Lonchura striata: one gene and its partners. The protein of the gene in region 3 interacts with the protein of the main gene of each other region in a pairwise test. Links are inferred from orthologs where the notes say so. Each region holds a gene or a part of one and is shown on either strand. Other genes may lie near its edges.

The links.
Region 1: the proteins of USP25 (region 3) and SYK interact in binary tests that used the Homo sapiens proteins (3 or more experiments, as listed by UniProt). The link is inferred for Lonchura striata from reciprocal best matches to the Homo sapiens genes USP25 and SYK.
Region 2: the proteins of USP25 (region 3) and TNKS2 interact in a two-hybrid assay, tested with the Homo sapiens proteins (2 studies listed by BioGRID and IntAct). The link is inferred for Lonchura striata from reciprocal best matches to the Homo sapiens genes USP25 and TNKS2.
Region 4: the proteins of USP25 (region 3) and RAD23B interact in binary tests that used the Homo sapiens proteins (3 or more experiments, as listed by UniProt). The link is inferred for Lonchura striata from reciprocal best matches to the Homo sapiens genes USP25 and RAD23B.

Annotation. Positions count from the first base shown.
Region 1 is NC_134642.1:7,797,393-7,804,903, forward strand, and holds the start of SYK (tyrosine-protein kinase SYK), read right to left. Parts: upstream 3,004-7,511; 5' UTR 2,896-3,003; intron 1,561-2,895; 5' UTR 1,499-1,560; coding exon 1,476-1,498; intron 1-1,475. UniProt on the Homo sapiens protein: Non-receptor tyrosine kinase which mediates signal transduction downstream of a variety of transmembrane receptors including classical immunoreceptors like the B-cell receptor (BCR).
Region 2 is NC_134609.1:16,489,984-16,497,701, forward strand, and holds the start of TNKS2 (poly [ADP-ribose] polymerase tankyrase-2), read left to right. Parts: upstream 1-4,699; coding exon 4,700-4,904; intron 4,905-7,718. UniProt on the Homo sapiens protein: Poly-ADP-ribosyltransferase involved in various processes such as Wnt signaling pathway, telomere length and vesicle trafficking.
Region 3 is NC_134604.1:8,527,781-8,535,609, forward strand, and holds the start of USP25 (ubiquitin carboxyl-terminal hydrolase 25), read right to left. Parts: upstream 3,002-7,829; 5' UTR 2,940-3,001; coding exon 2,895-2,939; intron 1-2,894. UniProt on the Homo sapiens protein: Deubiquitinating enzyme that hydrolyzes ubiquitin moieties conjugated to substrates and thus, functions in various biological processes including inflammation and immune response.
Region 4 is NC_134642.1:81,799,784-81,806,730, reverse strand, and holds the start of RAD23B (UV excision repair protein RAD23 homolog B), read right to left. Parts: upstream 3,016-6,947; 5' UTR 2,903-3,015; coding exon 2,837-2,902; intron 1-2,836. UniProt on the Homo sapiens protein: Multiubiquitin chain receptor involved in modulation of proteasomal degradation. Binds to polyubiquitin chains.

The DNA of each region.
Region 1 (7,511 bases), on a different chromosome or scaffold from region 3:
CATCACCCAACTTCTAGCAAAATTGTGCTGGAAGGCAGGCTCTAAGTCTTCAATACCACTTTCAGGAAAGATGGAAGAAAACAGATTTACTATTAGGTTTTTAGTAAGGAAAGAATTTGGATGCATGAATGATCAACACTGGCTCTTCACCAGCAATGTACAACTTGCAGAAAAGGAAGAAATAATCCCATATTGTGCCTCATGCCAAGAATGGTACTGCACTGCCTGCTCAAAACACCTCAGTAATACATACTGAACATGTATCAAGCAGAAAAATATCACCACAATCTTCATCTGTAGAAATTTATTTTAATTAATGTAATTCATTAAAGTTAATTTTTGCCATGCTTCTAGTTTCAGACTTAAAAAAGATAAAAAACTTCAGAATGAAAATAACAGCTAATAAAAGTGGGGTGGGAGACAAGGTTAGAGGGGGTGAACACATCATCCCTGTCTACAAAAAAACTTTAGGACTACTGAAATTTAAATTCACTTTGACTATAATGTGTTTCAAATCAGGCTATTCTCCAGAGTATTTTTTGTCTCTTATTAATCTCAATGTTTTCTACAAACTCTTCAGGAACAAAAAGTTCTTAAAAGGCAGAAGGGCAGGGGGAAATCCACTGGTTTCAATTTAGATGAAATGTCAGTGATGGCACTGGTGAGGGACTGTTTGTTAAATCTTCAGAATGAGGAGGTCTGGTGTATAACAGGTTTCCAAAACAAGAAGAATATTTCTCAGTTATGAAAAGAACAGCAGCAGGATTCTGATGATCTCTAATATTTTACAAATTATTTATTTATATCTGTTTCAGAAAACAATGGCCTGATTTACTTTCACAAAATATGTTACCGTTGGTCTATTTCAGGCCAGGTTTTCTACCCCACTTTCCAATATGTGAAGAATATTTAGTGTTTAGCAATGGTAGGAAATATTTGGAGTGATGCAGCATCTCCTGGGCATGCATAGAGGCAAATAATCACAAAAAAACTTTAGATAATGATTAAAAACTACTTAACAATTTTGGAAGAATGTCTGAATTTGGGATGGCTATTCTCTTCATTTGGAATTTCAAAATCTTGCCTTTGTTTTGGGAGTGCAATACCCTTCTGGGATCAGTAAAGGAATAGAAGAAAATGCTTGAATTCAGAGTTTTCTCCTCCTCTAAGTTTTTCCAGGTGCACAAAGAGTGCAGTGTTTTCAAGCCAGTGCAGTTACAAACATGAAGCTGTGAAATGGAGATTTGACCCCTAAGGTTGAATGTAAGGCTTCACCCTCCTGAGTGCTGAAGGAAGTGTGGCTGGCTACCCAAGAGAGGCACTTGAGCATAACAGCCACAGAGGGTCTTAAGTGCAACTCTCCCCTTGGTCGCTAAATATGACTTTTAAGGAAGCTACAAATGCATGCAAATATCAGGCGTATCCTACGTGAAAGAAAAATATTACACAAACACATAAGAAAATTAAGTACTCACTTCCTCTCAGGCAGCTTCCTCATCAGCTCTGCAGGGTACTTCTGCCATAGCACAAGAGTTTAGTACCTCACACATTTCATGCATACTAGGAAGCAAAACATTCTCTCAGAACAGATGAGCAAAATGAAGGAAAACTCACCTGGAAGGTGTTAGAAAAAAAATCTCTGCTAACCACACTGCAAAACTTAGCTTAATTCTATTTAATCTAATATTTAGACAAGAACAAAGGGAGAATAATTACTATATTGAAAAGTTTGCTTAGCAAATATTATAATATTACTAAGGTACTATCTCCCTTCTAACATTAAAAAAAATATAAATAGGAATATGAATTTTTCTAAAAAGACCAAACAGTATAATGGTGAGAGACTTAGGAATTTCTGATTGATTAGTTTATTCCTTCATGGATAAGATGACTGAAATGTGACAAAGATCAAAAGCCATGTAGTGGTGAAATAGTGTGCCAAAAAAATGCTCCTTATTTAGGCAGCTATTTTTTCACCTTTTCTTGTTTTCCAAAGTAGTATTCTGTGAGCAGGGTATGAAAATAAAGAAGTAAGGTTTAAAGTAAATGTCTTGCATGCATACATACATATAAGGCACACTAGACAGTGTCAAATGATGAAAATATGCTTATTGAAACAATTTGTTCTAGAACTGGGTGATATTTTAAGTACCACTTGAAGTTTAAGAACTTCAACAGTTCTCTAATTATACCCTGGAAAACATTAATAAAAAAAGAATAATATGAATGTACAGTTTTCTGAAGATCCTATTTAATTAGGATTCTTGGAATCAAGATGTGTGCCTCTGAGAAAAGCAGCACAAGTTTTTTAAGATTCTTCACCATATTTTCAACTTATGTAACTCATCTGAAAACTAGAAGAAATTCAGTATGCATAGAATCATAAATACACTTTTGATGGTGACTTGATATACTATATTAAATATTTTTATAGTTTCATGGTTTCAGGAGAACCTTAAAGGTATACTCCAAACTAATGCACACTTTGAAATAATTGGCACTGAAGTATTATAAATCCATTGCAACTACCTCACTTTTAAAAAACTAAATCTGAAGAAGTTTAACAAAGAAAATGGATTTGAATTACTGTTCTATTCTTATTTTTGCATCCTTAAAATCACGTTCCAGTGTGTGTAGATAGCTGAACGATGGTCTTAATTTGATCATCAGATTACCTCTACATGCCTCCTTTACCTTTTTGTATAAACATGAAAATTTAATTTCTATCTACACCTTAGGAAAGGAGTTTTTATGAGCAAATTACGCAGAAACAAAGGAAGAAAACAGCAAGTGTCTAAAAGGAAGTCAAGGCAGGGAAATACAACAGAATATAATTTTATAAAGTAATTCAAACAAATTAGAGTTTGATCAGGGCACTAGAGTGAATTTACTGACCTACTGAGAAACATTTGAAATCCGGTGTAGTTCAACTGGTAATACTGGTGATTTTGCAACTTTTGTAGATATCTTCAAACAAAGTCCCACTCATCACACTGAAGGGGATGTGTCTAGAAGGAAAAAGTGACACTTATATTTCCTTGAGTTCTGGCATTCCTCAGGGAAGTGCCCTTGCTGAGTACTGATGCTCAGGGCACTGTGTCTCAGTCTGCACCTGCTGTGCTCCAATCAGCTTACAGCCTGCAGCAACATTTCCATCACTCATGCTTGGGCCTCCTTCTCCATGTGTTTTCTCCAGCTTCTCCATGAAAAGTTTTCCTCATACAACCAAACACTCATCTCTGAGCTCTGCAACATTTTACTAACAATCTAAGCTATACTGCTCTGCTTTTTGACTTGTACTTCAGACTCTAAAAATGCCTTTTTCATCTTCAAAGACTTTGCTGTTATTCCACAGATGCTCCTTCCCAGTGCTGACAGATACAGAAAGCATGTGCTAGTTTTTAGCAAGTTTCATATTGTTATATGTTCATATTGTCAATTCATTCTGACAATAATGCTAGCAAGTACATGTTGTCAAATTTTTATTATTTCTTCAACACTGGGCTCTTTCCTTAGAACCTCTATGGTGTCAAGTTCCATATTTTACTTTAACAGTTCGGTTTCAGAAGCATTTTCTTTCTTTCAGATATTTTTGCTTTTTATTTTATATTGTGATGCTTTTAGGGTGACAACGGTGTTTCTGCTAAGGTTTTTAAATACTGCAATGTATTCTTTTACAGAAACATAGCTCAATTAAAATCTGTCTGGGAAAAATAGGGAACATGGTAGCTTTGGACCAGAACACTTGTCTGATGGGAAATTCAAAACCTGGATCTAAAAATATGATCACTGAGCTTTAGGATTGTCCAGTTTGTTAATTAACAGGTTAATGTTTTATCATTATTATGAAAGTTAGTGGCCTAGCTAGCCTCTTTCTCAGCTTAAGACGAAAGAGTTTTTGCCCTCATTCATGTAAATCCTCAGCATTTTGGCCATATCAGAACAAGCATGTGCCTACTAAACAGGTGGCATTGGTATTTCATCTACTACCAACTATATTAAGGAGTCATTCATAAAATGAACTAAAAAGGAATATCACAAACACACCTAAAAGCCTCAGGAGCTTCAAAAAATTGGATTTTATAAAATATTTTCCTATAGATTTACTTTCTGGAGTCATCTTAATCAATACTGCGGACAGATAGATATTTTTTTTTTCTCTATTGAAACATCCCAGAAATGCCCTCATTTACTCAAAATTGCATCTGACATTCTGATATCATCAGACTACTCCAGGCACTCTAGCTGCTGAAATATTTCCTGAGGAAAAACTACTTGACCTGTCAACACAATTACTGCCCTATTACAAGGCAAACAGATGCTTAGAAAAAGTACCAGAGCATTCATGTTCTCTTTAGGGCTTTTCTATAAAAGCTTCTGACCTGAGCTCATGAAGGAGCATTCATCACTAAAAAAAACATTCTTCACTGATGCTAGGAATCTATTGTTTCTCTTATACACCTTTCTTTTGGGATTCTCATGTCTTTGGTAATCTTTTCATATGCCATAGTTTTCCTCTAATGAAGTTTTTCTGCTTTGGTCTTTTATAAAGCTCAGCATGCTACTGTGAAAGAATTAAAAAAAAAAAAAATAGGTGTTTATGGATTGCAGTAATTCTTTCCCTGGAAGTAAAAAATCCTATGATTTTCACACATATTAAAAATAGAAAAAAACCAACCAAAAAACCCCAAACAATTTTTTCTCCTTTTAAATTCCCTTATATCTATTTCCACTCTTACACTGTCACAAATACAAACACTGCCTCTCGCCAAACATGTCTCTCATCAAATCAAGAATTTCAGACATAAAATGGGTGGCATCATTTCTATGGGGACAAAATACTCAACTGTGATTTGTCCCTATTAAACCACCGTATAAATAATGGAACCACTGGGATGAGGTAAATCTGCAGGAAAGCATTTCAGATACTGCAGGCAGATCCCTGTCTAATCTCCCATTTTCCTGCTGTGATAAGATGTGAGCAAACTTCTTTGGGCACAGACATATCTTCACTAAGATCAGCTGTGCCACTGTAGTGACTGCAGAATAGTACAGGTATAATTGTACAATTGCAGGTATAATTGTATCTTCCAAATGCTGGTGGAGGGGGGAATAAAAAAGAAAAAGGAAAAAAAAAAAGCCTGTGTTGGGATGCAGTTACAAAAGTCTTACTCAGAGAGCCCCAACTATCTCCCTTCAGGAGCTACTGAGACATACATAAATGTATATACATACACACACACACACACACGTATATATACATATATGCATTGTTCCTTTATGGTTTTGTTTCAAACATGTATTTACTTCCCAGAATTACAGTAAAAAGTAAAACTCCTTTGCATGCCATAGATCACACTATGATTGCATGGAGAGAGCTGTGAAATGAGCGTACAAAGTCAGTGAAAATACATGAAGAGCAAAACAAAAAAATTATAATCTTTCTTGCAAGAAATCACTGAAACCACTAAAAAGAGATTGAACAGCTTAGCCAATGGCCTGCATATTTTCAGGGTCCAAGTTACAGTGACATTAAATATGACAGTGTAGCATGTTGCCAAGTGGAATACATTTTCATTTTTACAAAAGAGTTTTCACAGAGACAGCAATAACAAAACTGTTATGGACAAGACAGTGATGGCACAGTAAAACAAAACACATCTAACTATCACTAAATTTTCTCCCAGTCCCAAAATCTTCTTTCAAGGTTCACCATGGTCTATTATTTTTCACAATTCAGAAAGAAGTAGCCAGAAAAAGATCTATCAGAGTGCTACACCAAAAACATTGATTCAAAACATTCATCTTTTTCCAGGAAGTCAAAACCTGGAATATCTGTCCAATTTCCAAACACACACAAAAGAGTGCCTTGGGCAGAGAGCTGATGATACTGTAAATTTTCTTTACCATAAGATCTGAGAAAGGCTGGCTTCCAGAAGGACCAGCATCCAATTGTGGATGGATCCACAAGCCATAACTTTGTTTTTCCTTCCTTCTGACATTTCTATCAAATTTGCTGGCAAGACATCTCAGAACTAAAGATCATGAATTATAGAAGCAAGTTGCTATAACCAAATGGAAAGTGAATGAAAAGCTTCATCCATTAAAAAAAAAAAATCCAGGAGAAATTCAACATTATTACAACAGCCTCAAAGTTTTATAGCCTTACAGGACTAAGACAAAATGCCACATTTCATTCAAAGTTTCAGATAAACATCACTGCGGTTCCACAAGATAGGTTTATTTTACATTCCAACAAGTGTCTTCATTAGACTTTTTAAAAATCAGTAATTGTGGCAGGCTGGCATTTCCAAAGTTATTATGCAGGGATTAACTCCTCTTCTTTGTTCAGGTCTGTCTCTACTCAGTTCCAAGTCTAGAGGCTATGGATATATAAATTGTCTCAGTTTCTCAGCCATGAATATTAGCCTTCACTTACTGTTAAGCAAGAACACTTGGACCCCATTACACTTCATTCCTTATCTGAAATTTATTGGTCCATCTTTGTAATTGCTAAAACCTTTGCTGAACAGATGCCTCAATGGACTGGCTCCATGAGTCAGAGTGGTAAAATGAGGCAGGTTCCTCTTTCAGACCAAGGTTATTTTGCCATCTGAAACAGTCTGCAGTATTCTTCTTTATATAGAAAGCACAGAAATTACTGTAGGAACAAAAACAACTTGCCTGTCATACTCCTAGAATAGGCAAGCTTCTATAAAACTGGGCAAGCCTTCCCAGTGCTACATTCTAGAGTCTATAAAAACCATGCCATGTTTTCTTATTTTTTGAAAAGCTTCTGCTAGGAGCACAGGCCAGGTAAATGTTCTGCCACAGACACACTGTAAGCACCATCTCTTAATGGAAATTACACTCACAAAGAATTGACACCCACAGAGGTATGGGAAAAAAGGTCAAGCATTTCTGTTTTTTGAAAGGAAGATGTGATACTAGCTCACATAGCCAGGCTGACAACAGTAAAAATCTTTCTTAAAATCTATCTAATAATTAGAAATATAGAAGCATAGCATTGTTCAGGTTAGAAGGAACCTGAAAGATCACTTACTTCCAAACCCCCTGTTACAGGAAGAAATACGTTCCCCCTGACCAAGTTTCTCAGAACCCCATCCAGTCTGGCCTTGAAGACTGCCAGGGGCATTTACAAGTTCTCTGGGCAACCAGTTCAAGTGCCTCAACACTCCTGCAGTAAAGCATTCTTTATTTAACAGAGTTTTTGTTAGGAAAGGAATGCTTTTCTTGAAAAATACTATAATCCAACAATTGCACCAGCTCTTCCTGACTATGTTTTATGAGGACACAGGTATCATAAAAGACAGACTGCTTTGCAAAACAGACTCTTCATTAGTGCATCAGCCATTTAGAAAAGACTAAGTCTGTATCTCTCCCCATATCAGCCTTTATCATCAGAACAAGCAGCACAGAAAAAACTTCTCATTGATATAAAGACAGAACAGTCTCTTAACAGGCAGGAACTAATTTTAACCAGCAAACAA
Region 2 (7,718 bases), on a different chromosome or scaffold from region 3:
TTTCAGCAGGAGCTTTCCATTAGAAATACTGAAACTCACTGGACTTGACAACTATTGCTTCATGGTGAAACTATAAAAACTTCTTAAACTAAGTAACTTTTTCTTAGGCTGAAATCAAGAATAGCCTCATATTCCTATTTTTTACCCTGGACTGTGGAACTAGCTGTTCCAAGAAGCCATCACTTGAATTGTTGGGAAATTGCCTCTCAAAGATCTGGCCTGAAATAACAACTTGACAATCTATGTGCAACTATTTGGAGTGGTACACTACTACTTCCTTAAAAAACACTACATTTAGTTTCTTTGCTTTCCTTCACACTGCCTGCTCTGGATGGTATTTACATACTATGGGCAACCAATTTAGGTATCCAAATTAAAAGTATAGGTTTTTTATGCCATCAGTGGAAAGGGGAACAGTGCTTCAGAGGGCAATTAAAAGTAAAACACTGAGAAACCTGCCTGCTTTGGCAATTTCTTGGAGGACCTGGACGCTTCTGTTAAAGGCCCAGGACAGATTGTGAAGATGTCTGAATCTCCACAGAGCCTTTTGTATTTTTTTACATTTAATTGGGACAGAAAATAAATACTGAAATTTGTTAATAAAATGTCACTTGAATTGCAATTTAAATGCATGGAGAGTCTTCCGCTATTTGTTGGTTGCTCATTCTAAATATTCTCCCTTAGGATGATTTTTCAAGCAAATTGCTCTTTCCCTATTACTATCTCAGTCAGTTCTACACAGATTTTAACCTAATTAGCCCACACTTTTTCTTCTTTTGGTTGGCTTCAGAAAAATGAATTTCATGGCTGGACAGATATTCTGGTTTGCCTTCACTTGCTTTTAGCATTTTCATATTATTATACCTATTGAAGGTACAGATTAATCTGTTTTGCTGGCCTCCCCAGTCAATGCTGATCTTTGGCCTGACTGCTCCTCTGCTGTTTGTGGTTTCTTCCCAATAAAAAGTAACAACTTCCCAGGCCTCTGCCATGTTCTCCTGCTGGCATCCTGTGTAATTCTGCTTTGCATGCAAGGAGCCTACACTTTTAAAAAAGCTCTCTGTCATCCCAGAATGTTCCAGGCACTATAGAAAAACATACAAGAGCTCCATTTAAGCCCTCTGGACATGTTTCTGTCTAGCAATTTTTGACAGAAAACTGGAACAATTTTAAACAAATCACAGGCATCCTGGCTTTTCTTTTCTGTGTAATCTAGTTTCCATGAACTCTTAGACACTTATCTGTGCTGCTGATGTCCAGAATGCAAGCTTCTCCCTAGCACTTAAACGAATCTTCTCTAACTTCTGCCCCCACAGCTGGTCATGAAGCTGCTGAACAATTATCTTGGTTACTGCATAAACAGGTACAGGATTTTGATAACTTAATGGCCTACCATTACAGCTTGTGAACAACTGACAGGGTATCCCAATCTCCTATAGGGACCACGTGGCTTTGTGCTTGCTCCTCTCTGAAAAGCTCAGTCTCTCAACATTTCACCATCTCCATGTCTCCTTTCTTTCTTTTTAATCCATTTGTTATTCCAGAACAACATTTTATAATTATTACACTTTAGCCCCAGCTGCTGGTAAAATAAAGGAGGTACATATAAAACACCAATAACTACACATGGGTAACTGGCAGAGAAAAAGAACCAGTTCCTGCTTGTTCAAGAGACATAGCCAAAGTAATTGATGGATAAAATAAGAAGAGGAATGGAGAAAGTTTCTTTAAAGATCCAGTATTACACATATTTACTGATGTACAGCCTGTACTGCTTTGAGTTTGCAGTGAGCCTGTATTTCATAAATTGATATTTTCATTTTGAAAAAGAAGCTTTCACTGAGAAAGTTGCTATTTATATATATAAAAATATAGTAATAAAACAACAGATCAAAATAAATATAAATAAGTAACCAAAACAAACCCTTTTCTTCATAGAATATTTTATTATTTCTTGATGTACACATTCATTATCCCTGGTTTGGGCTTTTTTTCCAAGTCTCATCTGGAAATGTTTCAAATGGAATAAATTTTAAATTATTCTCCTTTTGGAATAAGCTACATTTCTGAACTCTTGAAATGTTCTATTTATTCCAGAATTTTACTTTGCTTCCAAGAGCAAGGCAAAGAACTTCAGGGAACAATTAGAAAGAACTGGAAAATCCTCATAACATGAAGGGCTGACAGCCAAAAATCCTAAATCTGATGGACTGCCTTGCAGATTGGCATGAACAATGTCTCTCCCCATAAGTAAACCTTAATCTCCTAAGCAGAAAGGAAAATAATTTATTTTTAAGGCTGCTGTAGTCTTTCCATGCCCAACAATCCCTCTTTTTCTTTCTTTTTCTATATCTTTCTCAATTTTTTTCTTTTTCCTTTTTTGACCCCGTCATTTTTTTCTATTTTTTTTCCTTCCTTTTTATCTCCTTTCCTTTCCTGCCCCCTAGTGACCAACTAAGCATGTTCCTAAACAAACTGAGCACTCTTCCAAAATACTTCTGAAAGGAATAACAGTGAAATGTTTCTGAGCTGTTCATGCCTGAGCCTCTCAGGCTGTGTTAGTAACAGGTGGGTTACAAACCTCCTGCTGCCTCTAGAAAAGTCCCTACCACATGTATTGGGTGGGATTTGGCATATATTTCAGATATGGTTTCCTAACCATGCTATTGTACAGAAGAACAAAAATACTGGATTTTGCAGATTATTTTCTCATAACATAAATAAATTACATTAAAAAGGAGAGGTGTTTTTATGTTGAATCTCAAAAATCACTATGAAGGCTATTAATAACTAGTCCTAAAATATGCTGAGAATCTTTGCTTCCTTGAATTCAAAGCTAATTGAATCCTGCTCTTACAGTGTAATTTTTCAAAGTTGTTTCCATTCATAAAGACCTGCTGTAGTTTCACACTCAAGCTATAATGAAGACATGCTGGAAAAGGAAATCAGGCTGCAAATAATTTAGAATAATAGTACCTTTTGGGTATAGTGGTGTGGAGAGAAATGTAGAATTTATTTCAGGCGGTGCTCTTTATAATCGTGCTCCAGCAGAACAGTGAAATATTGTTCTGGATTTCAAATTACTGAGAAGACCTGAGGAGCAGGATGTGTTTGGATTTACACAGGTACTTGCACTTCCACACACTTCTAGATACAAAGTCCCTTCTTTAATTTTAAAATGAAAGTAGTCAAGTTAGTGCACTTGCTACTTCTGCTGTGGGCCCAGAGAAGGGTTTATGAACTCAAAAGCTTGTATAGCTTTCCAAACATGTTAATGGTGACAATAAAAGATACAAATGGCAGCATTTCAGGTCCTGTTTTCAGTCTGTGGTGCCTGCAGGCAGGAAGGGAAGCTCTCATCATGCAGACTTTGGAGAAGTTGGGAAGGTCTGAGAGGCCCTATGAGCCACAGTTGATGACAGTTTATGCAGGAACATTATGGCCCCATGCAAAGCAGTGGATGAATTATGTATGTGTGGGACTCTGGCTATTCCCTGCCTGCTGAGCACAGCTTGGAATTTCAATGGAGGCACAGAGAAAAGCCAGTGGGATTACAGGAAACACGCATGACCAAGGCATCACATTTGTCAGTGCATGTGGTTTGTGCCCTGTGCTGGCTGCATTCTTCTGTCACACTGCTGTGGCTATGTGTAAATTACCAAACTGAACAGGACACAGACACAAGCATCAGACCTTGATCTGTCACTAGAGCATGGTGACAGCCTGGTATAGCTTGTAGTCTCCCACAAAAAATTCCTGGGTGCAGTTTAGGCATTAGCATGGACCAGGGAGAGAAAATTTGGATGTAATTGCCTTGTTTCAGGGACAGGGATGTTTGACAGAATGGAAGACTGTGCAAATGTGCTAGATCCTTTGCCTTGCACTTAAGTAATTTAATTTCCTAATGTGACAGCAGCCTGAAAGTTGAATTGAGTTTGGAGGTACTCATCTCTGCATTTGCAACAGGAAGCTACTGACCCTATTCAACTACCTTTTCCAAAGTGTTTTAATATGGTGTGAATAAAAAAACACATTTCAGAATTATCAACTGAATTCTCTTCTAGTCAGTCCCATCTGGGCTCAGGCTTCCCCCACCAAGCCAGTGAGGTTTATTGCGGGGCTGCGGGGAGAGAGAGGACAATTTCTGTTCTCTTCCAAAACCTTGAACTGGCAAAGTCAACTAACAGGTTTTTTAATATCTGTTTTTCGACATTAATAAAGAGAACTATGCTATTTATGTTGTATAATTTCCATTACATAGTTATTTTGCAAGCACTGAACTTCCTCGGAGTCACAGTATTTTCCTATATAAGCAACTGTGCAAGGATCATGAAGCCATTGGCACCCAAATGCAGTCTTCCACACTTTGCGGGGGGGGGGCGGAAATCCCTGAACAGAAACCCCTACATTTAATTACTGAACACAGCAAAGGCACATTTGTTCTTCTGGGGCGGATCGCTAGTGCTGTACTTTGTTGTGCCCCTCACGGCCCCCGCCAAGGGGGCCGGTTACGCGGGCCGTGTGGGCGCCGTCCCGCTGTGGGCCGCAGCCCCGCCGCCGCCGCTGGGCGGCTCCCGCGGCGCGCGCCTGCGCACGAGCGCGGCGGTGCCCGGATCCCTCCGCCGGGCGCAGCGCCCGCCCGGGAGCGCGTGCGGAGCCCCGCGCGGGGCGGCGGGGGCTGCGCGGGCCCGGCCCGGCCATGGCGGCGCGGAGGTGCGCGGGCGGCGCGGCCGCCCTGGCCGAGGCGCCGGGCTGCGGCGCGGCGGCGGCAGAGCCGGCCCGGGAGCTGTTCGAGGCCTGCAGGAACGGGGACGTGGAGCGGGTCAAGCGGCTGGTCCGGCCCGAGAACGTGAACAGCCGGGACACGGCGGGCAGGAAGTCCAGCCCGCTGCACTTCGCCGCAGGTACGGGGGCAGGGGGAGCCGGGGGGCGGCGTCGCTTGCCCGGGGCGCTGGGCCGGGCCGGGCCGCTCGGGCCTCGCCGCTCGGGCCGGGTGCAGCGCCGGGTCCGAGCGCTCCGCCGGCCCCTGAGCATCGCGCCCGGCCCCGGGACCGAGCCCGTCTCACCCACGCGGAGGGGTCGCCGAGCGGTACAGCTGTTCCCTCCTTTGCTTTTTCTTCCCCCCCCCCCCCCCCTTTTTTTAAAAAACCAAATCTCATCTGGCTTTGAGGACACATCTGGAGTGGGGTTTATGCTGTTCGTGTTGTGACACGTGAGCTCTGACAGGGACACTTGTCCCACGTACAGTTCTCATGGATTTCAGCGGGCCTGTGCATTTTTAGAATTGAACGCATGAAGGAGTTCGTCAGATAACACCGTTTCTAAGCTTTTTGCGTTCTTATCTTTGACAAATGGACTTTGTTAATTCAGGACGTAAGCAAACAATTGACGTCACAGGACAACTGCTTTCACTGGCAATTGGCCAGAAGATTGTATCCCACCTTTTCAGACAAAGACCCGACTGTGACTGTTGTTTCCATGTTGGTTGTTTGGTTTAATTACAGCCGTAGATGTTGGACTCTAAGGCTGACAGTCTGCAGAAAACAACAGCTTCTTTTCAGCTAATCAATATGGATAATAACAAAGATGTTTGTTTCATTATTAGATTGTCTTGGTAAAGGTTTCTGCTTCGGGTGTCCTTTCCTCATGTTAAAAGAGCTTGACTCAGGCTTAAGAGGTCTAAGTTCTTGAAAGCCTCCTCAGAACAGCAGTATTTCATAAATTCAAGAAGCCTAATCGGCAAGAGAGCTCAGGAGACAAAATATCCTGTCAGAGGAAAACAGTTTTTGTGGCTGTTTTTTTATATGCATCAATCCTACCTGCCCACTGAACTTCTAAACAACTGTGTATGTTTTAGAGCATTTTGGAGAAATGAGGGGTTGTTTTTATTTATTTATTAGTTTTGGTTTTATTTATTTATTATGTTAGTTTTGGGGTTTTTTTGGCCTAAGATGTTTCTCATTCACTGTAATGATCTAGTTTATCTCTCTGAATAGGGGTGATCTGTCTTGACTTTATATAACTCCTGATAGGCAGAAAGATTTTTCTTTAAAAAATGCACAGCCATAAGTTCATGTAGTTGTTAGATTTCTAAAGTTAGGCAGGTTGGTGTGTAAATGGGAGACACTGCTGTCATGCACATGTCACCATGACTTGGTACAGAGAAATTAATTGTTCTTCTCAGGGGCCTGTAGGAGATGCTGAGGGTTTCTGGCTAAGATGGGACAGAAAACACTTGTGTGATTTCTTCATGGAACTCTATTTACTGCCTCAGGTCGAGCTCTGCTGTTGTCAGCCCACCTGCAGTAGGCTCTGTTTGAAAGGTGGACATAAGTCGCTCTTGGACTTGGGCCTGACTGGTTTTGTTTGGTTTTGCCTTTCCCCTATTATTCACCGTTGGAATAATACTCACTTCTTTTGTCTGTGCCTCTGAAGGAGTCACATTCCAGGAAGTAAAAGCAAAAATCTGATGTATTCCTGCTTTGTTTTTAAGTGTTCTTAGAAAATGCATTACAAAACTTCTCTGACTAGTTTCATTCAGTTGCAAGACTTCTTTTATGGAGGAGCTGGAGCTGAAATACACCATGTCACCATGTTTTTTATTGCTCTTTTTTTCTTTTTACTTGACACTCTGGATCTGAACCTCGGTTATATTTTTTAAGACTTTTCCCAGATCTTACCTAACAATTAAGAAAAAAATTCCTCTTTTTCCATGTGTGTGTTTGTAAAGGTGGATTTTGAAGTAAAAGGTGTAAAAAAAATCTTCAAGCTCTCCCTAGAAATGTGTCATTATCAGAAGTAATACATGTTGGAATTTTGCTGGAGCTTGCTCTTTGGATTTTGTAGTACACAACTGTGTGTGGTAGTTAAGTTATCCTGAAGGTTAAGTCAAGGGCCCACCACCCTTCACAATAAAAGAGGCTCCATCCTCTCCCCTCATAAACTTCATGTATTTCCTCAAGTCAATCTTTTTCATCACAGTGTGTGTCAAAGTCAGAAGTTTTTAAGGACTTGGCAGGTACCAAAATGCCCCTCTTGCAATCTAAATTTCATTAAAAATATGAACACCCAGGGTAGGGGAGAAGCATTTGAGCTAAGTTCTTTCTGTTAGCTTGTTATCCCATCAGAAGTAGCTGGATGTCAATTATGATCCACAGTGACTGTAAATAAATACCTTTTTAAAATTATACACACTTGTACATTTCTACTGTGATTAATAATAGCAAATTGTCGGCTGAAAATTTGTAACTTTCCAGGGAACAAGTGCAGTGAGCTGCTCAACTATTACAGGTGGGAGAAGAGTGTCAGCTCAAGGTCCTGAGTAGCCAGCCTTTCTTGTTGGCAATAAAAAACAAAGAGTTCATGATGATAAGACCATTACGTTGCAGTTGAAATGTGTAATCCCATTTAGGTGGTCTCTTGATAAAAGCACAAGAGCTAAAGAAAACACCTACCTCTTAAAAATTACAATGTTGGGTTTTTTTAAAGTGTTTAAACAGTTTTTACTACAGCCAGCTACTGGTAAAGAGGAACTGTTTGAGTAGGCAGTGACTGCCTTCCCGTGACAGCAAAGGCTGCCCCTGCTTTCCACTCCCAGGAAGAACAGCAGAGGCAGAGACCATTGTGCAGTTTGGCCACTTCCTCTGCACTCATGCATCCTTTAGAAAGTAATGGGAAAATAATTCCCCTTCCATATATGGTGCCCTGTTGTACAGTTG
Region 3 (7,829 bases):
GATAAAACAGCCTTTAAATCCATGTATCAACCAAATGTCAGGCTCTCTCCAGAAGCAGTAGAACTTGATAACACACATTGCTGAGAGGCCAGCTAAGTGCCACCAATTAAAACCCAGCTTCTTCAATCTGCCATTCCAAGATGACCATCACAGTAATTACCAGAGCTGATACAACGTTGAAACATGCTTAACCTCCCCACATCATAACTTTCAGTTACCAGAAAAATCACCATTCACCCAGCCCCTGAACTCGCTGTGTAGGGGACACTGGCCAAGGGAAGGGTCTGCACAGTACATGGGCAGCCTGGGGAGATCTTCCTCCAGGAGGAAAATTGAGGTTCACAGGCATCAGCCACATAGGGCTGCCTAGATTATGTGAAATCCTGCAACACATGTGCCTTATTTCCTCAGCATCAAAATGCCTGACAAAAAAAAAAAAAAAAAAGGACTGGACCGGACAGAAATGCAGATTGGACAAAACAAGAAGCTACTTTTTTTTTTAACTTTGCATGTTGTTTACCTTTTTCACATGCTTTAATCTTACTGTGAACATTACCTATAACCTTCAGACACCGAACAATGTCATAGAAGCACACAAGGGCCATAAGCAACAAGAATAATTTGATTAATTATTTGCTTCAGGACATAATTTACAAGTTTTAACTAAGGGTCAAAATGACCAGTAGAGATGAAAGAAAAGCTTCTTTTGACCTGACGCAGCTGCTTTAACTACACAATAAACTAAAGATAGCTTCAGTGGGAAGCAGGCTGTTTGTAGTTACAGCATTTATTAATACAAACCTACATCTCCAAGTGCTGCTGAAGTTTGACACACGCTTCCTGTATGACAGTAAGAAAACGTCTGATGAACAATGTTTGCAACCATGGCTCCGAATAAGGTATGCTGATGACTCAGGCATCTCTTGTAAACCCAATATATTTCTGCTTGTATGTGGTTTCTTCACATTAACAGAAAACAATTGTAACAAACTTTGAGGTCTCCAGAACAAACTCCCTTATTTGTGGACATTGGGCTTTTCTTCTTTCAAGGGAAAACAGTAAGTTATTGCTATGGTAGCCTCTCCACCTTTCATCCATCCATCAGCCCACTGGACCTTCACCGTTTGCCTTCTTACATGCAAATACCTGATCAATGTTAAAGTTTGTCATCCAATTACCTAGTCATTAGTCTCGCTAACAATGAGACACTCACTTTGGAGTCAAATAAAGCTTTTTTACAAAGTACTTTTAAGATTTGCCTTTCCCTCATTCCCTAAATGCATGCAATTAGGGATAAAACAGGTTAAAAGCAATTGCAGATAATAAAATAATCAGATAATTCAACAGAAACAATAATAAAAAAACCCTGCCATGAAAAAAACTTGATATTTTATTCAGTTTCTTTAGACACTTTAAAAGGTGACCAACACCCACCAATGCTGATTACAACTTCAGAATTATTGCTAGCTATATTTTTTACTGCAGCATGGATTACTTGGCATATACCACAATCAATCTTCAACCTCCTTTTGGGCTTATCCTCGATTTGAAACTCAAGTGAATCTGAACTACTGACCCGCAAGCAGTAGTTTAGCTGAAAACTAAGTATCCTTCTAGTTTAGTTGAAAACTAACATTACTACTCCAGGATTATTGTCAGAAAGCACAAATAGGCAGCACTGATCAGGGTCCAGAAGGCACTTCGTATCTGACGTGATAATTACGATATATTAAGTAAACCACAAGAGGTTTTGTAAAAGATAAACTTGCTCGCGAAAGTTGTCAGATGCACAGCAGCAACATCAGTTTTCAAACACAGCAGGCGCATGTAGCAGCAAATCTGCTGCGTTAACCTGCCAGCACACCCCAACTGAAAACACTGAGAGAGGAACAAAATCAGACCGTTCAGCCCTTGCCTGCCTTCCTGCTGAAGCCGCCAAAATCACGGCTAACTACTTCCAACTATGAGAGCAGTCCTCGGCCAGACACGCCCTCCCTCCAAACAAGCTTCTTAAATGCGAGCTCTACCACTTTAACCAATTATACCCTAATCAGCACATTCCCACTGTCCACTCTTACGGCTGCAGCCATTTAACTTCCCCACCGACTATACCAAAGCACACATACCTTTATCCTCTTAGGAAGGCAGTACATGCCATTAAAACATTAATAAAAATCAGGAAAGAGGCAACAGCCATACCACTAACCAGAAGAGTTGTGTTAACCTACAAGTTACCTTTAAAACATATTATTTTAAAAGCACTGCAATTTAATTTTAGACATTTGTCTTGACAGTTCAAGGGAAGGAAAGCTTTAGAAGGTATCCTTTTTATTCTTCTTTTGACAGAGAAACATTCTCCATCGAGTCCTGGCGCACAGTAAAAGCCTGATGAGCGCCGTCATTCCCTTAACCCCGTTCCATGATGCACGTTAGCACGAGTCCCTAAACCCGGCACTTTTTCACTCCAGCAGGAGCGCGTCACTCGCTGGAAATAGCGTTCACCTTTGGCAGGCGCGGATGCCGGCGCCGCAGGGTCACGCCGGGCATGTGCAGCATCTCCCCCCGGGCCCGCGGGGGGCTCGGCCGGGACTCGGCGCTCTCGCTGCCCGGCCCCGGTCCCGCCGCTCTGCCCAGCAGCCTGGAGCGCAACAGGCCCGCCCGGGGCCGCGGGCAGGAGCCGGGGCTGCCCGGGGTGACCCGGGGCCGGCCCGGCAGCCGCCCCCGCCGCGGCTCCGCGGCCGCCGGAGCGGCGGGGCCCAGGCGAGGCCGCGGCGCGGGGAAGGCCCGGGAGAAGCCGGGCGCGGGCGCGGGGAGGGACGGCGGGAGCCGGAGCGGGCGCGGCCGGGCCCGGGCGCGGCGGAGCCGCTCCAGGCCGGGCCCCGCCGGGGACTCACCTTGGCGGCGCCGCCGGGCTGCAGCACGTTCTGCTCCACCGTCATGGCCCCCGCGCGGCTCCCGGCGGCGCCCCGGGCTCGGCGGGCGGCGGCGGCGCCGTGCGGCGGCAGCTGGGCCGGGCCCGGGCTGGGCGAGCGGGGCGGGAGGCGGGGCGGAGGGGGAGCCCGAGTCGCCGCCCGGCGCGGGGGGAGCGCGGCCGCGCTCCGGCCCCGCCGCCGCTCCCGGAGCGCCGCCCTCGGCCCGGCTGCGGCTCCCGGCGGCGCCGCCCCGCGCACCTGCCCCGGGCGCGGCCCCCGCCCGGCCCCTTCCCCGCCCTGTCACAGCGCCCGCCTCCATCTTGGCGGCTCCCGCCGGGCCCCGCCGCCCGCTCCTCCCGCGGGAGGGCTCCGCGTCCTTCGCCGGCTGCAGCGGCGGCCCCGGCGACGGCAAAGTTTGCCCCCGCCGCGGGGAAACAGAGCGGCTTACCGGTGCCGCTTTCCAGGGGATCGCCAGGGAATTTATGAGCCAGCGCTGTGGCTGCTCGTGGCCAGGGCAAACCGAATCGCCAAATGAATCACAGACCCAGGATCGCTCGGGTTGAAAGGGAGATCGCCCGCCGCAACCCCCCTGCCAAGGCAGGGTCACCCAGAGCAGGTGGTACAGGAACGTGTCCAAGTGGGTTTGGAATGTCTCCAGAGGAGACTCCACACCTTCCCTGGGCAGCTGCTCCAGTGCTCTGCCGTGCTCAACAGAAAAGAAAAAAAAAAAAAAAAGTTATTCCTGCTGTTGATGTAGAAATTAGAAATTCTTGTGTTTTAGTTTATGGCCATTGCTACTTGCCCTGTTGTTGGGCCCCACCATCCTCTTGGCACCCACTTTGGAGATCTTTGTATGCATTAATACACAGAGGTCCCCTCTGTGTTCTCCAGACTAACCAGGCCCAGCTCTCCTCATAAGAGATGCTCCGGACCCTGATCACCTTCGCAGTCTTTGCTGGACCCTCTCCAGGAGCTCCTTGAGGAGCCCAGAACCAGAAACAGTAATGGTGCATCCTGAAGTTGCAGGTCTTCCCTTTCCCTGAGGTTTGACTGGGTGAGCCGTGGTTTGACTGGATGGCATTCAGCATTCAAATTGTATGGCAATGTCATTAACATATGGGGGGGGGTAGCTGGTCTTGGCAGCCCACAGTGAATTTTGGCACCACAGATAAACAGTATTAGGGAAGAAATTGTCCTTCTGTCACCCTGCTCTGGGGTGTCAAGGAAAGGGCAAGAAAGGATTCTGCTTTGGGCATCAGCACAAGCAGCACAAGACTCAGCTGGACAAAACACGTTTGCCCAGGAGCAGGTGAAGGGCAGCAGAGAAGCCCATCTCACATTTTGAATGCCTGCCCAGTGTATGGTACCAGTGTCCCTGTTCCACTTCCAAGGCTGGTGGAGCTCAGTCTGTAGGAAAAGCTGCAGAGAACAGCACAGTTCTGAGAGCCCCAAGTACCTAAAAAACATGAGCTGGGAGCCTAATGCTACAAAATTAATTGCAGCTATTGCTTGTCTGTCACACACAGCCTTTACAACTCTGTAATCCAGAGCCCTCCTCTCCCCACAGTAGAGTATGGATCTTTTTAAAACTGACATTATCAGGTAATAACATCACTGGAAGATCCTGGACTCTAAGGAAAACACAAGCACAACTCATGACAACTTGCAACCACTGCTTCATTTCATTGTAGATTCTGTGCAGGAGATGTTGCAATGTAATCAATATTTGCACTTCTCAGGTTTGTTGCCCATAGATTGTATCAGTTTTAATGTTTTGGTTTTTTTTTTTTTCCTTTTATGCTGCAACATGAAAGGAAATTTGTAAAATTTGTTTCCAAAGAATTTATTGTGCAAAAGATAAGAAAGTATGCAGATAATATAACGGGCTCAGAAATGGATTGCAAATTACTTTACTGGAGATAGGAAAGGAAAGTCTCTGCTCAGACTGATGGCTATATGTAAGAAAGACAACAGTAGCAGCTTGGGGTTTTTCTTAAAAAAAACTTTTCTGTAGTAGCTGTGAAGGAGTGATAGTCCAATTCCTCCGTCCTCTTCCAATATATAATCATGCTTTTTCTTATACATTTTTACAGCTTCTTCACCGTGTTTTTACATGTGCTATGTTCAGATAACTCCCATCACAACTATTATTTACATTATTTGAACATATTATAAACAAATTAGCATTTAAATAAAATACAGTTGTCTTGCAATATTTTTTTCAAGTGTTTTCACTGTTTTATTTAATAGCTTTCCTGTGTCCAAAAATAAAATGTTTCCAAAAAAGAAAGAAGAAATTGTACATTTTGTTCAATTCTTTTTAAATCAGGATAAAATGACAAAGCATCACCTTCCATTAAATTCCCTTCCCCAATAAAATTCATTTTTAAGGGCTCCAGCTTCCTAACTTTCTTTAATATAAAGGCTGAGCAATCTGATTCCAAAACAGGGATTTGCCATTTAAATACATAATCTGAACCAGAATCATGCAAATGAGGATTCTGTCATACCTACAGTGTTGCTGGGAACCAGAGGGAGCAGAGTTCCCTGTTCTGTTTTGCAGCTCAAGCTCTCTATGAAGTACATTGAGTACAAGCCTGGAATTCATACCTCATCAGTAAACACTAATGATTTTGTCAGGGCCACAGTTTAAGAGGAAAATATATATTTTTTTATATATGTGCATATTTTCACAGAAGTTTGTTAGGTTTCCCCATAGTTTTTCCTCACCTTTTAACAATATTGCAGGGTTTGGCTGCTACCAAACATGGTTTGGTTGTTAAACAGTTTGGTGACATGTTGCACAACCTGTGCCTCCAGCTGCTTGTTCCCCTGAGCAAGGCTCCCCCTCGTCTGCACCTCCTGCTCACCAGCGGTGCTGGAGAAGTGATTCACTTGAAACACAGGCACAAACTCCCCTCCCCACTAAACTGGTTGTTTTCTTCTGCTAGATAAGTTCCCCAAAATGGTTCACTGACTGGCTACAGGAACAGCTGGGCTGGCCCAGAAGAGAGGGTGACCCAGGCTCAGTGATGGTACCCATCAAGTTTCATTTCACCTATTTCTAAAATCAGTAAGTGATTGTGCCTTCCTGATCTGCACACTGCCAGTTGGAGGGAAAGCCTGTGCCTGCTCACAGGAATCCTTGTTTCCCCATTTTTGCAAAGAGCAGCCAAAACATCAGCCAACCACAAAACACTTTAGCACATGTTTTATTGTATACAAAGACCATGTACAACAAGAAATAGCTCATTATTTCCCTCCATTTTCAATAGACTTGGGTTTGTCTTTAATTAAGTGCAACATGCATTTAGGGCTTTAATTAGACTGTGGCTGCATAAGTTACAGCTGGGAAACAAAAGTCAGGACTTCTTGGTTTTCTTTTCCCAGATGTGTAACCTGCTATACTGGGGATGAGAAAGCACTGCTTTAAAAAGCACAGGGAACGCTACAAACACAGGTTCTGTAGTTAACCCTGGACAAGAGCTGCCCAGGATTCACATTTATAAACCCCATCTTGGAGCACTTTCACTTAGGCCTTTTGGCTCTGCAGTAAATAGTTCAGCCAACTGACAAAACCACGGCCATTCAAGCAGCTTTTATAGCATGAAACTTTTGAAATCATCGTTTGGCAATTACTCCCTGTGTCACTGGTAACCATTCAAGCATTGCTTTGGCACCTGCAAAATCTCCTGGTGGTTATCATCCAAGGCAACCAAAACAAAAACTAACAAAATTTGTAACTCAGGAAAAGCCTTCTTAAAAGTCTTCTGAAAGCCTTTTGAAAATCTAAAAGTAAAACTAAAATGAGGTGAGCATAGGTCTTGTTGCTATGCAAAACACAACTTCATATTCCATTGTTTGTTGACCTTAAATTGAAGGTTCCTGACCTTCTAATTTTTTCTTGACAGCAGATGTCTATTCATTCACGTGTCTTCTTAAAGTCAGGTGCTACATTCAAAAATAAAAATTCTCAGATTTAGACTCCTGAGTTCATGTAATTGCAGCTGAATTCCACAGAAATTATGGATTTTACAAGAACCTAGTTAACGTGCCCTTTTTTACCCTAGCTATCTTCACACTTCATTTTACTTTATTATTTTATTTATTTTATTTTATTCTTGACCACCCTTGCATATTGATCATATTATTTGACACAGCTTTCCTGAGAGACCATAATATTTTTTTGTATGCAGCTGAAAGTAATTCAGAGCTCAGCAACAGGTAGTAGTCCTTCCAGTAGGCATTACCCAGTGTTTTTCAAGGACAAAAAATTACAGTACTGTTCCCAATATACTTATTTCTGTTATTGAAAAGGTAACTCATTTAAACAAGCATGTTCACAACAAATTACTATTTCCACTGAATTAATTTTAAGCAAAATAATAATTAATATTCCCCCTGGTTTAGACTTTTGTTGCTATAGGACACGTGAAAGCACGATGCGAACCACCTGCTATTTGTAAGGTAAAGAAGAAGGTTTATTTTTTAACTCTAACTTTTATACTTTTCTAAAGGTGACAGTGGATTGGAGAGTGAATGGGCCACCTCTCCAAAGACATTGGACAAACTATTAGTACATTAAGTTTCTGCACCCCCATGAAGGAATGCAAACCAATATAGAAATTGTGTGGGAAAGTTTTCTAACAGAATGTAAACTCAGAAGGCTTTAGAAAATCCTAAGAATCAGGGTGACAGACTTTACCTAATGATTACTTATAATGTGTATTTTGAAACTATTTCAGCTCAAAAATTATTGCTTTTAGCACGATAAGTGTGTTACACTCATATTCTAGGTCTAAACAATTTATTTTGGATTACAAAGTAATCAAGCCAGTTCTACATATTTTTTCCCCCATTCTTACTTTGCATGTATTTTTTCAAGTGGCAAACTCCCAGTTCTTCTCTTCCATTCAT
Region 4 (6,947 bases), on a different chromosome or scaffold from region 3:
GGAGCTTGATGGGCGCATCACAAAACTTAAGGAAAAACAGGCTTCCAAAAATTTAATTTGATAACAGGCCTTCCCCAATAATAGGGCCTGAGGCTAAATCTTTTCATCTTTAGTCAGTCAGGGTACCTGACAGTCTTCTCCCAGTGCTTTGGCAAGCAAGATAATAGCTTCAAGTATAATTTTCACTCATCCAAAATACTCACTTGGCCAATGTTTTAAAACACAACCACACCAAAACCGGAGTCACACCACTGAAGGCAAGTTTAAAATTCAACTGTGAGATTTACTAGGAAAAAAAAAAAAACAGTTGCTTGTGCAAAAAGCCAGTTAGCAAGGATAATTTATTATTGGGAAGTATGTTGCTTCAAACTCTCACTGGAGGTTGGTTTAAATATTCCTATCAACGACAGCTCTAAGTTAAACTTATCAGAATTCTACCTTGCATAGTATCATCAAGTCTCTCCAGATTAACTGGGTACTGAGAGTACGAGGAGAAACTGATAGGAACACAAAAACAATTTTAGAGAACCAGAACACAGCTTCGGAGCAACGCGTTTCCTGCGCCTATCGCAACTACACGATTTTTGGCCTTGTCACACCATAGGGCAGAAATCCAAGTAAACAAGCCTGCCTACCTCTGAGAAACACACACATGGTCCAAAGACTAAAAGTAATCTTTCCCAAACTCCATGAAACATGTTTCAAGGTCTGAGGAAAATAATCTACGAAACCAGCACACTTAGCTAAAATTTGTGCATTCCAAAAAGTCTGACCGAGAACTTCAAAGCACACACTTGTGAGGCACCTCCTCAGCATGGCACATTTCAAAGCGTTTTCTGATTTTAAGACTCAGTTTGTAACTGAAAGCTCAAAGCTGAACTTCTCTTTACTAAGTTTTTTGATTTTTAGTATTTCCAACAGTACTTTCTTAGTAATTTTCTAAAAAGTGTACATGGAAATTTAAACATGTTTTTCATCTCTATAGTTAATAATAAGACCAAGCCTTTATCCTGCTCTTTTAAAAACAAAGTTCTCCTCAAATTCTACCAGATTTCCTCTGTTTTACCACCCATTCCTGGCCAAAACCTGAAGTTATGCTCATGAGGAGCATTTTTATTTTGAGCCACTGTAGCGGCTACATCTATAAACAGAGGGTGCAGTTTCATTTTCCCACAATCCAACTTAGTCATTGCATTCTGCTGTCTCATAAACTGGTGAAGGCTTTGACCGACAACATTCCTTCAGTCCTCTCCTTGAATTTACTTCCCAGGACCTTACTGAATGCAGAGAGCAAGAGGGAAAAAAAAGGAAAAAAAAAAAAAAAAGATAGTTTTTTCAGTAACAGCACAGACTTATGTTTTAAATATTTGAAGGTTTCTGATCCCTGCCTCTCCTAAGCATTTGTCATGCCTCTCAGTCACAATGGTAACCCAAATGAGCTCTTAGTCCAACTTTCAACTGTCATCCTTTAGTTTTCTTAAGATGGAAGAGGGCAAACCAACAGACTTTACAAAAGCAGATCCAATGTTCCATAGTTTTTTGAGCTTCACTGCTCACCTGTCACAGGAAAGGCTGCTGGAAAGAAAGGAAAGCTGCCAGCCTCCCCAGATCTTTCAAACCAAGGCCACAAGTGTGTGTGGACTTGGCTATCAAAACAACCATCTCTGCTCAGGCAAGTGACAAGGCAACTTCCAACCCTGCCAACTCACTTAGGGCCCTTCCTCTCATCTCACAACACAGCATTTCCCCGAGGATTTTCCAGCAGGCTCCTGTGTGCCAGAAGAAAACATTCACCTGGAAGCAAAACATGTCTCCTCCTCGCTCACAGCATCATCAGACACATCCAAAGGCATCGAGGAGAGGGGGAATGAGGCTGCTGTGCACCCCACCGCACACCCCAACACCGGCTCCACCGAGGTCAGCAGCGTCTCTCCCGCACTCCCTCCCGTCCGAAGTGCACACTGATTAATCGCTGCAGCTCGCCCTGTGAGGCCAAACACCAAACCCTCCCGCACTCTCCCACCTCCACAGCACACCCCTGCCCGGGCACACAGCGATGCACCCGGCAGCAAACACCAGCCCCTCTCCAGATCACGCTCCTGCCCCGGCAGTGAAGCCCCACAGCCCTCCCAGCGTTTCCCTCCTGCGAATCCATGGGAGGAGGGAAGGACCACCACGTTTTCCTTCTGCTGGACCCCCAACCTCATCCCGGGAGAGAGATGCTCTCGCAATATCCAGTGTCCCCATCCCCCTCTCCCAGGGCTCCCAGCATAAACCAGCAGCGATCTGTGCCCCACCGACTGCCAACCCACGGCACCCCGCTTCCCGACAGGGAAAACTTTCCTATAGCGCTCCTCTCCTCCCCAGGACTACGTGAGGTATTTATTCGCCCTCCCGCCTCCCGGGCTGTTTCCCCTTTCCACCTCAGAGCTATTCCCCCTTTCCACCTCCCGAGCTATTCCGCCTCCCACCTCCGGGGCGTTCTCCTCTAAAACAAGGGGGGAAAACTCCTTCCGCCGGAGATTTGGCCACGGCAGTCCCTTTCCTTCGGCGATGGGAAGTCCCTCTTACCCACCAGCATCCCGAGGAAAAGGGGTCCCTCGCACCCCCGCCTGAGCTCATCCCCTCCCTCCGGCCCCGCCAGCCGCAAAATCATCCCGGGCGGACCCCGCCTCACCCCCGCGACCCCAACCCCTCACGGAATCTCCCTTTCCAGGGGCTGAGCGCACAGATCCCGCATCCCTCTCCACGGCCGCGTCCCGGGGATGGGAAGAGGGGGGAAGAGCGTGGGGGGGGGGTGGGGGGAGCGGGGGCGGGAGCCCGGGAATGGCCGCACCGTCTCCTCGGGGTCGATGTCGATGCGGAAGGTTTGCTGCTGCAGCGTCTTCAGCGTGATCTGCATGGCGGCGGGTACGTGCCGCGCTCCGGCCGCCCTCGTCCCTTCCCCGGGAAGAGGTGGCGGGGCAGAGGCCGGGAAAGGGAGGAGGAGGAGGGAGGCGGCGCCGGGCTGGGCGGGAGCGGCGGTTGCGCATGCGCCGCCCGGGGCGCGCGCCACGGCGCAGGCGCGGGCGCGCCTGAGGGCGGGGAGAGCGGGAGGCGGGGCGCGGGCGGCGAGGCAGAAATACAGATATCAATGTGTATAAATAGATAGAGAGAGAAGGAACGGAGTGATTGTGGGGAAGAACGTCTGCGAGTCCGGCCTGTGGCCGGACAGCAGCGTGTCAGCCAGGCCGTGGCGCTGAGTGACGCGTCCAGGCGTTGCTCGAACACCTCCGGGGCAGTGACTCTGCAGTCTCCCATTCCAACGTCCAGCCAGCCTTTCTGAAGAAATTCTTCCTAATATACAACTAAACCTCCCCTGGCCCAGCCTGAGGCCATTCCCTCCTGTCCCTGTTCCTGGAGCAGAGCCTGACCCCTCTGGCTGTCCCCTCCTGTCAGGAGCTGTGCAGAGCTCAAGGTCCCACCTGAGCCTCCTTTCCTCCAGGCTGAGCCCCTTCCCAGCTCCCTCAGCCTCTCCTGGGGCTCCATTCCCTTCCCCAGCCCCGTTCCCTCCTCTGGCCATGCTCCAGCCCCTCAGTGTTCTTCTTGAAATGAGTGGCACAGGACACACCGCTTGTAAGTTGTTATACAAGCTTATTAATACACGCTTGCAGGTTTATAGCACCCTCAGTTCCGCCAGTGCTCATTTCATAGAATATAAAAGACCATCTAGTCCCAGCCCCTGTGCCATGGGCAGGGACACCTCCAACTAAGGTTGCTCAAGGTTGCTTTATCCAACCTGTCCTTGAACAACACCAGGTGTTGGAACATCCACAACCTCCCCAGGCAAGCTGTTCAAGTGTCTCACCATCACAATAAAGAATGTCTTCCCTATATCCAGCTTAAATTGGGGATAAATAGGAGAGATTCCCCTCAAAAGGAAAGATTCCCTAAACCTCCCCTCTTTCAGTTTGTACCTACCCCTCCTTGTCCTATCACTAAAGTTCCCAACATAGTGTCCCTCTCTGGCTTCCCTGTATGCTCCTTCAGATACTGGAAACTTCTCCAGGGCGAACAGCCCCAGCTTTCTCAAGCTGACTTCACAGGGCAGGTGCTCCTGATGAGCTTGGTGGCCTCCTCTGGACTTGCTCCATGAGTCCTTCTCACTTTGAGTATCCCAGAGCTGGATGCAGCACTGCAGGTGAGGGTCTCACAAGAGGAGAAGAGAGGCAGAATTTCCTCCTTTGACCTGCTGCCCACGCTGCTTTGGAAGCAGCCCAGCAGTCATTTGGCTTTCTGGGCTGTGAGTGCACACTGCTGGCTCATGGTGAGTTTAGTAGCTTGCAGTTTAGTGTTTGGGTAGTTGATGCATACCTTTGATGGGTTATTAACCTGTGTTTGCCCTGTTGCTCTTTAGATAATGTAGGAGGAAAGTTGCTACAAGTAAACTTTAAAGTTGAGCCAGCTGTGTTGGTAAAAGAGACCTTTTCTCCTGCTCCTTGTAACCTCTTCCATCTGCAGTTGTAGGATCTCCCAGGGCATCTTCTTTGAATAAAGGCTGTCTTTCTGCAAAAGGGGATACTTATGTCAGGCTGACTTAGTTGCAGTTAAACTCCAAATTTCCTAGTATTGTGTAATGGCCAGAAAATTTCTAGCCTGCCACTAAGATTGTCAGCTTAATCATTGTAATGAGAACCATCTCCTAACTCATTTTTTACAGTAGGCTTAGCTTCCTCAGCATTTCCTCCCAGGCCAGCAGACAGCATTGCCAGGCAGCAGGGAAGAGGAAGACCCCTTTCCCTGCAGGAGTGAGGGAATGGGGACGTGCTACACGTACACACAGGGCTGGAGGTGCTGATTCTGCCAGCGTCCTGCTCATGCTCTGTCATACAGCTGCCAGAGAGCCAGAGCCTCCTGCAGCTTTCACAACGAAAAAGAAACCGCTGACTGTTGCTAGTAGGAATCCAGCATTCCTGACAGTACAGAATAACTTGCTTGCTCTGCGTGGAGAGCCATTAAAAAAAAAAAAAAAAAAAAAGAGAGAGAGAGAAAATATCACTTGCTAGTTTTTGCTTGGGTGGTTACAACCTAAAATATGCTGCTTGTTCACTTTCACTCTTGCCTGATACCTAAGTCTATACTTTGAAGATAAAAGGGATTTTTTTTTAAACTTTTCTTTCAGCAGTCCAGATATGCGAGTGCTGAGCTTCATGAGCTTCACATGCAAACTAAAATACCTCATGCTGAGGGGTTGTGTCAGTTTCACTACCCTTTTCTGCTCAGCTTGTGCTAAACTACTCATTCTGACTTCTGTGTTTGCTGGTTAGTGTGTGAAGCAGTTCTGCCCAGGGCTAGGGGCTCATTTCAACAGTGGCTGTTTGGCTCTGCTTGTAAAAGCCCCAGAATAACTGGGAAACAATTCCAGAGGCTATGAACGGCTAAGGATGAAGGTCTTTTTCTGACAATTTATTTGAATTTTGAAATAGAATGAGAGAAAAAAAAGAAGCTGTGATTTTTTTTTTTTTTCCCTCTGAGTGGTTCAAGAATTTATGACAACTCACTGTATTGGGAATATAATAAATAAATAGAATCTTGATATTTCCTCTAGCTCAGCCCATTCAGCTCCATAAAATCTGTCAGGGCTTGGCTCTCCAGTTCTTTCTTGCAGTTGCAGAATCTAGAGTTGGAATTTCTCCCCCAGAGCAGCCTCATAATTTAGTTTCATAGTGCTTCTCATTGACAGCCAGTGCTTTGTGGTTTTTTTTTTCTTTCTGTATCTGAAGTATTTTGCGCAATCGCCCTGTGTACAGACTGAAGCATCACAGTTAGCTAACTTTATTTACAACAGTTTATATGCTGACTCAATCAGCATACAAACATCCCCTATCCAAGAGAAAAAAAAATTGGATTGATTTGAGAAAAATGTGAAATGAAGCCAAAGACTTAGAAAGATGTTTTGGTGGCAAATGCATAAGATGATTACTTTTGGATTCTTGCTTCCAAGTAACTTGATTTCCCTGGTGCACTTAACTCCAGCTGTGTGAGCTGTGTGCTGCCATAGCTTTGTCCCTCTCGGCTCCTTTTGGTTGTCCATGATTCCCCAGGACCTGCTCTTTACCCAAGCCTGTTCACAGCTGTGAGCACCCTCCTAGGTTCAAGGACCCTGATTGTTACAGAACCCGTTGTAACAGTATCAGTGTGTACACGTCTGCCTGTTGTCACCTCAGGTTACCTGCGTGTCACCTCTCCAGCCACAAAAAATGTCCCCGTTGCATGATACTCGAGTTTGTCTGCTTATCTTGGGAAGAGTTTCTGTGGTTTTCAGTGGCAAAGACTGAGGCAAAGTCTCGAGTCAGTGCTCTTGGGAAGTCAATTCTGCCTCTGCACTAACCTACAGTAAATACACACACCCCCTTTGTTACCTGGGTCATCCCATTGTCTTAGATGTGTGTGTGCTATTAAGGCAGCCTTATCATTGCCATAATTTTTACAGGTCCTGCCCAGATTCTGGGAGTGATGGCAGACAAAGGCTTTGAAGGTGACTCACCCCAAAGAACTGTTTAGGGAAGCAAGGGGTGAAATGGTGCTTGTAAGAAAGCAGCACATTCTGTTTCAGGCCTTTTGAGGTGGGTGCAGGCTTTTCAAAAGAAGACAGCACTGACAGAAATGGCCTGAACAAGGCCCTGAGGGTGTAGAAAGCAACTTTTTTTGTCTGTGTTGAGCTAGGAGGAGGCATGCAGAGGGCAGTACTCCAGGCAGATGCTTGTCAGTCTGGATAACAGAGGTAATGAAAGGGAGAAGCAAGCTTTTGAGCTGCTGCTGGTGGTTAGGAAGAGTTGTTACAAAAGTAGATGTAGAAGAGATCCAGAAGGGCAGCACAGCCTGGAGGGGCTTGGGATCAAATAGAGCACATGTTGATAATGGAGAGGTGAGGGAAGTTAGCACCATCATTGACAGGCAGTAACATG